Linked DNA regions of Oryctolagus cuniculus. The protein of the gene in region 2 purifies or fractionates together with the protein of the main gene of each other region. This does not show direct contact. Links are inferred from orthologs where the notes say so. Each region holds a gene or a part of one and is shown on either strand. Other genes may lie near its edges.

The links.
Region 1: the proteins of ITGA6 (region 2) and CD151 purify together in Homo sapiens (co-immunoprecipitation; 3 studies listed by BioGRID and IntAct, with this or other methods). This does not show direct contact. The link is inferred for Oryctolagus cuniculus from reciprocal best matches to the Homo sapiens genes ITGA6 and CD151.

Annotation. Positions count from the first base shown.
Region 1 is NC_091432.1:347,184-353,510, forward strand, and holds CD151 (CD151 antigen), read left to right. Parts: upstream 1-2,530; 5' UTR 2,531-2,684; intron 2,685-3,585; 5' UTR 3,586-3,641; intron 3,642-4,394; exon of another isoform or gene 4,395-4,427; 5' UTR 4,428-4,434; coding exon 4,435-4,518; intron 4,519-4,597; coding exon 4,598-4,789; intron 4,790-4,869; coding exon 4,870-4,944; intron 4,945-5,063; coding exon 5,064-5,168; intron 5,169-5,244; coding exon 5,245-5,403; intron 5,404-5,508; coding exon 5,509-5,595; intron 5,596-5,667; coding exon 5,668-5,727; 3' UTR 5,728-6,289; downstream 6,290-6,327. Other genes in the region: CRACR2B (EF-hand calcium-binding domain-containing protein 4A), read left to right, coding at 1-142, 609-755, 856-946, 1,079-1,171, 1,303-1,469, 1,592-1,663, 1,742-1,907. UniProt on the Homo sapiens protein: Structural component of specialized membrane microdomains known as tetraspanin-enriched microdomains (TERMs), which act as platforms for receptor clustering and signaling.
Region 2 is NC_091434.1:68,625,786-68,631,387, forward strand, and holds part of ITGA6 (integrin alpha-6), read right to left. Parts: intron 5,456-5,602; coding exon 5,262-5,455; intron 5,122-5,261; coding exon 5,033-5,121; intron 4,181-5,032; coding exon 4,062-4,180; intron 1-4,061. UniProt on the Homo sapiens protein: Integrin alpha-6/beta-1 (ITGA6:ITGB1) is a receptor for laminin on platelets. Integrin alpha-6/beta-1 (ITGA6:ITGB1) is present in oocytes and is involved in sperm-egg fusion.

The DNA.
Region 1 (6,327 bases), on a different chromosome or scaffold from region 2:
AAACCTTTGAGTCGGGCTGGTCAGATGCGCGGGGCGCCAGGGGCTCTCTGGAGGACGGAGAGGAGGAGGAGGAGGAGCAGGAGGGCCAGGAGCAAATCTCAGCCCTGCTGGAGCAGCTGGGGGTGGCCCCCGCCCTGGGGGGGTGAGTGCTGCGGGCCCCCGTCCCCTCTTCTGTCTCCTGGGGCACTCGCACCCGCCCACCCCCTTCTGCTGTCCCTCGGGGCACCGGCCCCGACCACTGCTCCCACACTGGGTCCCTGGCTGTCGGGCCCAGCCTCTCCCACAGCTGGGAGGCACCGAGATTTCTCCACCACCACCCCCCGCAGAATTTGCATTCCAGGAGGCGGCTGCAGGGAGGAGGGGCGGCGGGGCACAGCCCCGGGAACACTGGACGCCCTGCAGCCACACCACAGGCGTGGCCCCAGAGCACCCGCGGGAGGGGAGCCCCGCGCACGGCACACGCGCCTTCGCCGTCCTGGGCGCAGGGGAGGGTGGGGCTGGCCAGTGGGGAGCCCCGCGCGCGCCTTCGCCGTCCTGGGCGCAGGGGAGGGTGGGGCTGGCCAGTGGCACTCGGCGCTCCAGCTCCTGTCCCCACCCGCTCCCTCTAGGCAGCGCGCTGTGCGCGGGCTCTGGGCCAGGCTGCAGCGCGAGCGGCCGGAGCTGCTGGGCTCTTTCGAGGACGTGCTGATGAGTGCGACTGCCTGCCTGGAGGAGGCGGCCCGGGAGCGCGACGGCCTGGAGCAGGCGCTGCGGCGGTGAGGGCTGGGAGCCGGGCGGAGGGGCTCCCGGGAGCAGCCGGGCGCGGGGGCCGCAGCGCCCGCAGGTTCTCATCTGCTGTCCGGCCCGACCCCGAAGGCGGGAAAGAGAGCACGAGAGGGAGGTGCGCTGTCTGTACGAGGAGCTGGAGCAGCAGCTTCGCCAGCAGCGCCAGCGCCTTCGCACGCAGGTGGGCGCGCGCCCCGTCCCCCCCCCCCCCCGGGTCCCCGACACACCTGCTGGGCTTCCCGCGTCGCCCCGCCCCGCCCCGCCCACCGCGCACCACGTGGCCAGCGGAGGCTCAGGTGCCCGCGCGTTCCAGAACCCGCCGCGGGAGGAGTGGAGGGGCCGCCTGGAGGTGGAGCTGCAGAGCTGCGAGCAGGAGCTGGAGCGCGCGGGGCTGCGGCAGCGGGAGGTGAGCGCGCAGCCCTCGCCCCTCCCCAGCGCTCCTGGCCCTGCCGAGGTCCCGGGCCCCGGAACGGGCGGGCGCGGCTCCCCGGGAAGCGGCGGGCCTTCCTCGCCAGCCTCCGCCCCCGACACCCGCAGCTGGAGCAGCAGTTGCAGGCCCGCGTCGCGGAGCAGCTGGAGGCGCAGGCCCAGAACGCCCAGCTGTGGCGCGCCCACGAGGCGCTGCGGGCGCAGCTCGAGGGGGCGCAGGAGCAGCTTCGCAGGCTGGAGGGCGACGCGCGGGGTCGCCAGGAGCAAACGCAGAGGTGCGGCGGGCGGGGCAGGCGCGGCCCCGGCCCGGGCCACTTCCACCCCCCAGGGCCTGCGGGGCAGGGGAGGGGTCTCCCCAGCGGTCCGCCGCATCCAGGCCGCCCCTCCCCGCCCGCAGAGACGTGGTCGCGGTGTCCAGGAACATGCAGAAGGAGAAACGCAGCCTGCTGCGGCAGCTGGAGCTGCTCAGGTGCGGGCGGGCGCCACGCAGCCCCGGCCCCTCCGGGAGGGCAGGGACCCCTCCGACCTCGCCTTCTGCCTTCCCCAGGGAGCTGAACACGCGGCTCCGCGACGCGAGGGACGCCTGTGAGGCCCGGCTGCTGGGCCCCGGCCGCAGGAAGGCCCCGGCCACCGCCTGCCCGCCCGGGCCCACGCTGGGCGGCTGGACTCGTCCCCCCAGACGTGGCTCCGGCCACCTTCCCAGTGCACGCTGACCGGCCCGAGCCACGCACAGGGCGTTAGCGGGACAGGGCGCGCCTTGAAGCCCTGCGGGCGCAGGGGCCGAGTAGGGGTTGGGGGGCAGTGGGGCGTCTTCCTCCTGTCCGCATCGGTGTCCAGCGGGGAAAAATCATAAAAACTGCCAAATAAAGTCCAGGGACTGCACTGCCTCGTCCTCGGCGTCGTGCAAGTGCGCGGTACCTGTGCGGGGCACGTGGCCCTGGTGCGGGGCGGGGGGCTTCCGGCCGTGGGTCGTCACCCGAGCCCTCACCGTCCCTTCCGTGGGACCTGGCGGCCAGTGGAGGTTCCCACGCTCACCAGCCAACCCCGAGTGCGTTTCCCGGCACGCAGCCCTGCCAACCGAACTGACAGACTGACAGACCCCCGGGGGTGGGGGCCCAGACGCACCGGCGCGAAGCCCCCTCACCCTCCCCCGCCCCGGGCCGGCCTCGGTTCTGCCGACGCGGGGAGGCCGCCGGATCTCGCCGCTGTCGGGGACCTCCGCGCGGTGGTCTCTGCCTCCTTTCCAGCCCCTCCGCAGCCCCGCTTCCCTCCGCCGAGGCCCGCACTTCGCGAAGCCGGCTCAGACCTGCCTGGCGCTGTCTGCGGGCCGCGGGCGTGGCCCCGTCCAGGGGGCGGGGCCCGGCGCCGCGGGCGTGGCCGCAGCTCGTGTCGGGGGCGGGGCGTCTCGCCAGCGGCCCCTGCCGCGCATTCTCCGCTGGAACCGCCGCCCCCGCAGCGCCGCAGCCCGGGCCGACTCCGACGCGTGGCCGGTGAGTGCGCGGCCGAGCCGGGCCGAACGAGCGAAGCCGATGGCCCGCAGCCCCTGCGCGCCTGGTCGCGGGGCCCGGCGTTTGCGCGCGGGAGGCTACGCCCGCCGGACGCGGCCGCAGGCCCTTCCGGGGGAGCCCGGCGCCAGGCGGTCGGGGTGGGGGAGGCGCCTCCCGAACCCTGGGACTGGCGGGCGTCCCCGCCGTGCGCGGAGCCCTGAAACTCCCAGCCCGAGCGCCCCACGCAGTGTCTCCGACCCCGGCCCCTTCCCTCCGCCCGCAGGCCCACCCCTGCCCTGTGCATATGGGCGGGCCCCGGCCCCAGCGGTGACCTCACCGCAGACTGCGCCCGAACCCGCCAGCTGCGGAGCCCCGGAGCCCCCGCACTGGGGCGCGGGAGAGGCCCGGGACGGCTCTGCGCGCGGCCGCTGTATCTATTTCTGGCCACCCAGGCTCCCACGCTCCTGTCCCCGGGGGCTCACGGCCACCAGCCGTCCCTGGAGGGGCCGCCCTGCCTGGCCGGGTGGCGGGGATCCGGTCCAACCCCAGTAGCCTCACAAAGCCTGGGGCCTCTGAGTCAGCCCCAGGGGCACAGCTGTGCGTGGCCCCGGGAGTTGATGCGGGGAGTCTGAGTTCCCCAGCGGCGTGGGTGGAACTTGGGGGGTTGTGCCCCGCTAGCTGCTCTTTCGTGGGCGGAGGGCATGGGTGGGGCGAAGCCCCTCCCAGGATCGGACTGTCCGAATGCCTTTTCTGCCCCACCCTTGTCCAGACAAAAATACCGGGCCTGGCCACTGCTGGCCAGTTTTCCCGGGGGCCCTGGCCACGGCCTTGGTGGCTAGGAGGCTGGGGCAGGGTTCTGCCTGTCCGCAGGAGCCAGGCCAGTAACCTGTTACCTGCCCTGCAGCCCAGCTTCTTGGGAACTTCCGCCCACCTGTCCCAGAGACGTTGTTCCCGCCGCAGGTGAGTGCTGGGCGGGGCAGGAGGTGAAAGTGCAGCTGGGCTGCCCGTCTGCAAACCTGGCCCCGGGCGCCAGCCCCAGTCTGCGCCCGCAGGCCTCTCCCGGTGCCCCCCCAGCCCCAGTCTGCGCCCGCAGGCCTCTCCCAGTGCCCCCCAGCCCCAGTCTGCGCCCGCAGGCCTCTCCCAGTGCCCCCCAGCCCCAGTCTGCGCCCCCCAAGCCCCAGTCTGCGCCCGCAGGCCTCTCCCGGTGCCCCCCCAGCCCCAGTCTGCGCCCGCAGGCCTCTCCCAGTGCCCCCCCAGCCCCAGTCTGCGCCCGCAGGCCTCTCCCAGTGCCCCCCAGCCCCAGTCTGCACCCGCAGGCCTCTCCCAGTGCCCCCCAGCCCCAGTCTGCGCCCGCAGGCCTCTCCCAGTGCCCCCCAGCCCCAGTCTGCACCCGCAGGCCTCTCCCAGTGCCCCCCAGCCCCAGTCTGCGCCCGCAGGCCTCTCCCAGTGCCCCCCCACGGGGGGGGAACACCTGCCCTTCTGCTGACCCTCCAGCTCCTGCGCCTCGGTGAGGGTGGGCAGAGCCCTGTCCCCCGCCCCTGGGGTGCCTCTGCGGGCCCCTGTCCTGGGCCTGCAGCCCGCGGTGGGGCCGCGGGCAGGAGTGAGTCAGCAGGAGCCCTTGCCGGGTCCTGGGCTCCTGAGCCCTTCTCCCTGGGAAGTGACTCATGTCCTGTCTGCCCCCTGCGCCCGGGCATCTCCGGGTCCCCCGGCCAGGCGTGTGCCCGGGCCTCCGACCTCCCCCGCCAGCCCCAGGATGGGCGAGTTCAGCGAGAAGAAGGCCACGTGTGGCACCGTCTGCCTCAAGTACCTGCTCTTCACCTACAACTGCTGCTTCTGGGTGAGCAGGGGGGGCTGCCCGCGCCACCCGCCCCCCGCGCCCGGCCCCGGCCCGGCCTGACCCGGCACGCTGTCCGCAGCTGGCCGGCCTGGCCGTCATGGCCGTGGGGGTCTGGACGCTGGCCCTCAAGAGTGACTACATCAGCCTGCTGGCCTCCAGCACGTACCTGGCCACAGCCTACATCCTGGTGGTGGCCGGCGTCGTGGTCATGGTTACTGGCGTGCTTGGCTGCTGCGCCACCTTCAAGGAGCGGAGGAACCTGCTGCGCCTGGTCAGCGGTGGGGCCCCTGGGGGTGGGGTGGGGGGCTGCGCCCGTGGGGTCCGCCCAGAACGGGGGTGTCTGTCCCCTAGTACTTCCTCTTGCTGCTGCTCATCTTCCTGCTGGAGATCATCGCGGGCATCCTGGCCTACGTCTACTACCAGCAGGTGAGGGCTGGGGGGGGCAAGGCAGCGCCGCGGCTCACAGCGGGCCTGGGGGGGCGGGGGGCAGGCGTCCGGCCCCGCCCCCGCCCCCCCGCCTGACCTGGAAGAGCTGCCCCCCCCAGCTGAACGCAGAGCTGAAGGAGAACCTCAAGGGCACCATGACCAGGCAGTACCGGCAGCCAGGCCACGAGGGAGTGACCAGCGCGGTGGACAAGCTGCAGCAGGAGGTGGGTGGGGCCCAGGGGGGGCCTGGTGGCCGGGGCGGGCGTGGCGGCTCAGCCGACCCTGCTCTCGGCCCTGCAGTTCCACTGCTGCGGCAGCAACAGCTCGCGGGACTGGCGGGAGAGCGAGTGGATCCGCTCGAGCGAGGCCGGGGACCGCGTGGTCCCTGACAGCTGCTGCAAGACCGTGGTGCCCAACTGCGGGCAGCGGGACCACGCCTCCAACATCTACAAGGTGGAGGTAGGCGGGCCCGGATTGCCGAGCGGGACCACGCCCCGTCTGCCAGGTGGAGGTGGGCGGGGCTCCGGCCCCGGCCCCGCCCCTAGCACCTGTCCCCACCCCCAGGGCGGCTGCATCACCAAGCTGGAGACCTTCATCCAGGAGCACCTGCGGGTCATCGGCGCGGTGGGCGTGGGCATCGCGTGTGTGCAGGTGCGGGCCTGCCGGGCCGTGGTGGGGGACGCGGCCGCGGCCCTGGCGCCCGCTCACAGCCCGGCTCCGCAGGTCTTCGGCATGTTCTTCACTTGCTGCCTGTACCGGAGCCTGAAGCTGGAGCACTACTGAGGGGGCCTGGCCTCCCCGCCTCGCTGCTGAGTGGACACTACTGACGCCGGAGGAAGCCACGCCCCCGTCACACCCATACCCGGACCCCCACCGCGCCGGCCACGCCCCGTCACTGCTCGGCTGTCTGGGGGCTTGGGCTCCCTGCCACCCACTACTGACCCACAGGAAGCCACGCCCCGGACCCCCACCACACCCCAGTGCCTTTCGCTGCTCAGCTTTCTGCTTGGGGGGCCTGGGCTCCGGCACCCCACTGCGGAGTGGAGACTACTGACCCTGAGGAAGCCACGCCTCTGCCCCCACCCGTGCCAGCCTCTCACACCCAGAGGCGGCCAAGTGCCTTTCACTGTACAGCTTTCTGCGGGGGGGGGGGGGGGGCGGCTCCAGCAGCGCCCCCTCCCACAGTCTTGGGGGACCCTTGGACGCCTGTGTTGGGTCTGGAGTGCGCCTGCCCAGCCCAAGCCCCCTCCTCTGCCCCCTCCCCCAGGAGGTCCCTGTGTGGGGCCGGGGGCCTGCTGCACCCCAGTCTGTCACGTGACGGGCTTAATAAAGTGCGTGGAGTGGACAGTGAAGCTCCTGCCTCAGGCACGCGCAGGCTAGCAG
Region 2 (5,602 bases):
GATTCACTCACAGGCATCCGTGGCTGCCCCGGACAGCTTCAAAGCCACAGGGTGGGGGAAAGAGCTGCTCCTGTGCTGCTGCCCCGCCCCCTCCACTGTGGCTGAAGCCAGGAACTGTGGATACATAGATGCGTATGCCACTTACACAATATTTATTTAAAACTATACTGTGTTTAATAATTTATAAACAGATTTGAGTCACCTATGGAACACATGTTTCAGAGAACATACTATGTCTCCATTTCCACCCAAAACCCCCACTAGCCTTGTATGTTCTTCCAGACTGTGTTTCTGCTAAAACTATTCCCTAAAATCAAATACTGAAATACACACATAACGCCAACTACATGGGAGCTGTTTATATGCTTATTGTTCTGAAAACTGCTTTTTTCTCATTAATATTTCAGAGGTCACCTCCTATCTATGCACACAGATCTAGTGTCTTTTGCACCTGGTGGTGTTGCCTTGTAGCAATGGCACATCCTTTATTTAACCAGCACCTAATCAGTAGACATTGACACTAGGCTTTCTGCTCGTCTGAAAACTCTCTCTCGATGTATATGTATGTACACACTGCCTGTAGGACAGATTTCTAGCACAATTTCTGAGCCAAAGAATGTGTACATTTTTAATTAGAGTGATCTTGCCAAACTACACCCCGAAAGACTTACACCAAAACACACCAGTTGCCTGGGCTGCTGTCAGGGTGATTATCAGCAATGTGGATGGTTCCTGCAAATCTCCCTTCTCCCAGCCATAAGCCCCTGTCCCCCTGCTGCCAGAACTGACCCATCCTCATAGTGTCTATAACAAGAACTCGCATCCCTTACCCTTGTCCCCTCTGTGCTCTGCCTACCCCAACCCTGCAAACACTTAACCAGCAGGAGTCTCACACCCTTAGCCCGCTTACTCTGTGAGAACACCTCTTCTCTCCCTGGAGAATTCTCCCCGGCTTCTGCAAAGGGCTGGCAGGGGCCACCGGCCTGACCTCCGCAAGCCTGTGGATGGGAGCTGGGGGAGGGCTGGGAGGTGCTGCCTCAGCTCTCCCCTCCAGCACTCCCAGGTCGGAATTCAGAACGGGCTCTAGGATTCCACTACCATGCGCAGTCAGTTAGGCTGACACTGGGGGGCTTGTGGGAAGCCCAACCATACCAGAGAACCATGCTTTTGTAGGAAAATGCACTCCAAATCCCAAACAGTCAGCTCAAACTTGTGGAATCAATCTGTTGGTGGGCTAGTGGGCACAAGCCCCTTCATGATAAAGGGCAGGTTTCTGCGTGCTCTCTAGCTCCACTGTTTACCTCTCTACTTTTGTTTTATATTTAGACAGATGCCACTTTCAAAGATATTAACTACATACAAGTTTCCTTCCAAAGTTCATGGACATTTTCAAGTGTATTTTTCAGGCAAGAAATCTTGAAATTCATGCACAGTTTTTTCATAAGCAGTTTACATGAACATTTTGAAGATCCTTTGTACACGCTAAAGTTTTGAGAGCATGCACATATTTAAAAGGCAAACATTCACAAGTACCCTCTTCTTAAAAATAAAAAAACCCATTTATTTATTTTTATTAAGGCAGAGAGACAGAGATTTTCCATCTGCTGGTTCACTCCCCAAATGGCCTCAACAGCTGGGGCTGGACCAAGCTGAGGCCAGGAGCCAGGAACTCCATTATGGTCTCCCATGTGGCAGGTAGGAATTCAGGTACATGAACTACCGTGTGCTGCCTCCCAGGCTTGTTAACAGGAGCTGGATCAGAAGTGGAGTAGCCAGGACTTGAACTGGCACTCAAATGGGATGCCGGAGTCCCGGGCCATTGCCTAATCCACTGCAGCTCTCCCAAGTATTTTACAATCAGTTGCCCCAGATGTAATGTTTCATGTGTCATCTTATTAATGCTTTAATGCGTGTCATGAATTCCATTTAATATACCATTCCTGTCTACCTTATTTAACACACACAATTGTGAAGGCACAGAACACGTGAATCATGAAAAGTGTGTCTCGACACATAAAGCAAATCTTACTGGCTTGGCTGCCTCATGTTTACCTGGTATATATCTACTAAGTGTCCTTAAGTCCTAGGAGGATTTCGTGGGAGAAATGCCCAGGACGACAGAATCCAGCCTGAAAGCTCAAGTGAGGCCGGCCACAGCTTCCTCAGCTGTGAAATAAGGAGGCTCAGACGCCTCTCGCTATCAAAGGATATTGAAATTCACTTTTCTAAGGTCCATGAGGAAAGGAGGAACAAGTTTGCTGGGTTCACAGTCCACCCGCTTATGACGACAGGAAATTAAAGTACTATCAACAGACTATCAAAATATCAATTACACATGGCAACAAGACTATCAAAATATCAATTACACATGGACACAGGCAAATATTTAACTGATGAAAGGTAGGTCATAGGGGCATAGTGGGTTAAGCCACCACTAGCAACATTGGCATCCCACATAGGGGCCAGTTCATATTCCAGCTGCTCCAAGTCTGATCCAGCTCCCTGCTAATGTGTCTGGGAAAGCAGTAGAGGATGGCCCTAGTGCTTGGGCCCCTGCTGCACACGTGGGAGATGGAGTTCTAGGCTCCTGGCTCCAGCCTGGCCCAGTCCTGGCTGTTGCAGCCATATGGGGAGGGAACTGGTGGACAGGAAATAGCTCTCTCTCTCTCTCCCTTCTCCCTGTCTCTAACTCTGCCTTTCAAATAAATAAAATAAATCTTAAAAAAAAAAAAAAAAAAAGGTCAGTCTCTCATCTGTTGGTGTTGAAAACTTGGTAACCAGATTTTGGTATAAGAAGTCAAGTTTTGTTAATAGTTGAACTAACCATCAAACTAGAACTACACCTTCAAAATTTTTTTTCACATTGTTTTTTGATTGACGTTCTTGCTAAAATAGCTGATTGTTATATATTCTTCCACCTTTTAAAATTGTTGAACTACTTTAAGGTTGATAACTGCATCAGCAGAGAAACATGCATCTAAAGACAGTGTCTCAGAACACCGGACAGCCCACTGTTGGATGCCTTAGCCCAGAAGCACACACAGCACAGCAACAGCCTGCTACAAGGGCTCAGGAGGTTGAGAGGCTCACAGCACTCGGGGAGGACGTCACCAGGAGCACGAGGATGCATCCCTGCTTCCCCAAGCTCCTTCCTCTCCAAATCACAGACACACGGGTCCATGCACTTTGGTTTACTCAGCTTTGGTGGTTCCCCGGACACTGTCAGTAGCATCTCAAATACACTCTTCCCTGTGATTTTCATATCTCCTAATTTTGCCATCTGTAGCTTCCTCTGTGTGTCTCAGTTTTTCATACAGGATGGCTTTCATATCTAAAACAACTTTCGTCATTTACTATCACGTAATATTCTCTTCAGAAGTGTCCTGGGGCTGGTTTCTAAGCCCCAGGGTTGATGTGAGGGTATTTTAAATACTGAGGCTACCTCTACACCTGACACCATTCTGGAAGACTACAGGGCAAGGAGTGTTAACAGGCACACCTGGAAAACAGTTTCACTGTGCTACTGCCCGCTTCTTTAACATATTCTTTAAGAAATGACTATAAAGCCAGTGAAGAGAAAACCAACCACGGCAGTTGTACGTGACACAGCAGCTTTTTTTTAAATGACTGCTTGGGATACCCATTTCCCATACGAGGTTCAAGTGCTGGTTATTCTGTTTTCAATCCAGCTTCCCCATAACGCACACCCCGGGAAGCATACATGATGATGGCTCAAGTACTTGAGTCCCTGCCATCCGTGTGGGAGACCCACACAGAGGCTTCTGCCTCGCCCAGCCCCAGCTGTTGAAGGCATTTGGGAAGTGAACCAGCAAACAGAGGATCTCTCTGTCTCTCAAATAAAAAGGAAGGCAAATAAAAATGTCAAAAAGCATACGTGTTACTATGTTGTTATACTGCCCTCAAAAGAAATGAAATATCTTCCAAACACATGTAAGTCTTTGCCTTTGAAATGCAGATGTTACAAATTTCAATCCAAAAGGTCAAAATGTCAAGGTAATCTGATAACTGAACATACTTAACTGAGGTCTGAAATAACACACCTGAAAATAGTTACAGTATCCGAGAGGGAACCAACAGCAACATCAGGATAGGAATTTCTATCAAGGTCCATATCTCCAGCAATTGAATATCCAAAATACGGTGTCGTCCCCTCGAGAATCTGAAATAAAACAGTGCATCAGATGAGCACGGGCACACCAAAAGGAACTTCTCATCTATGCTCCGAAAGACTCACAACTTTCTTCTGAATGGACGTTCAGGAGTTCACATGTAGCTAAATTATATTAAATTACAAGTACTCATAGGATCTAACATTTCAGACATTCTATTTCACCCGATTTACACAGTATCTCAAAGGACAGAGGAGCCATTCTTTGATGAGTTTAATGCATTAAATTAACCAAGGTATTTCTAATCAAACCTCTCCTCTCTAGTCCCCAAGTCTCACTTTTCTCAAAAGCAATTTAAAAACGTGGGGGTCTGAATTCTCCACGTGCTTGTCCAGTTTCACTTCTGCTTACTTTGCTACTGAGGGAAAGATGAGGGCACTTCCAAAGATCATGGAGAGCACACCTGATGTGCGTGAGGTCTCTGCTCGTACAACCCCATCTCAACAGTCTTCCAGGACTTTCCATCCTCGCCCTCAAATGAGTAGGGCTGCGCTTTTATGCACCAAAACAGAGTGATCGTTTAATTTCGTGTTTCCATGAGCTTTTGGAAGTACCCATACACACCTTTTCCATGTCTTTATACTGTCAGACGAGGGCAGTCTTGTGTTTGAATGACTTTGATTCCCAACTTACCAAAGAAATTTTACAATTAAAACAAGCAAGACATTGCAATTATATATCTATTTTAGAGCTATCTTCCAGTAATACACTTTTTAAAAGGCAAAATTCATACTTGTAGACTTGTGAATAAAACAAAATCAGTATGATAACTCATTTCCACCTAAATATCTATTACAGGCTAAAAACTGAGACAAGCTGTAGAAATCAGGTTATTTGATTACCTGTGTTGGTTTGGTATTTATTCCACTTGCAGACCCATGATAGATAAAAACCTTTCCCATATCATCATAAGGCGCTCCAACTGCAATGTCTGTTGACAACACATTTTCATAAACATTACATTTTGAAAATACTCCAATGCTTTAAAATAAGACACCGGAAAGCATTCATTATTATAACAACCAAAATTTCAATCTGTAAATCATAACCATTTCATCATCTTGTATCTACCTGGGTAGCCATCTTGATTAATATCTCCAATATTTTTTACCGCAATGCCGAACATAGAATCTTTGGTTCCGTTAAGACGAATTGGCTTGACGTTATTCCATCTGCCTTGCTGGTTAATGTAGACATACACTGCACCTCCAACTTCTCCATCTCTATCAAAATACTGTGGGGCTCCAATCACTATGTCTTGCCACCTAAAATACGGATGTGGGAGAACAGAGACCCATCAGCTGAAATGCCAGCAAGCTAAGGGAGAATACCCCAGTCCAGGCACAAAGGACACAAACAGGTACGACAGAAAAGACCTCCAATCTGGACCTAATGTCTCATACATTAAAACA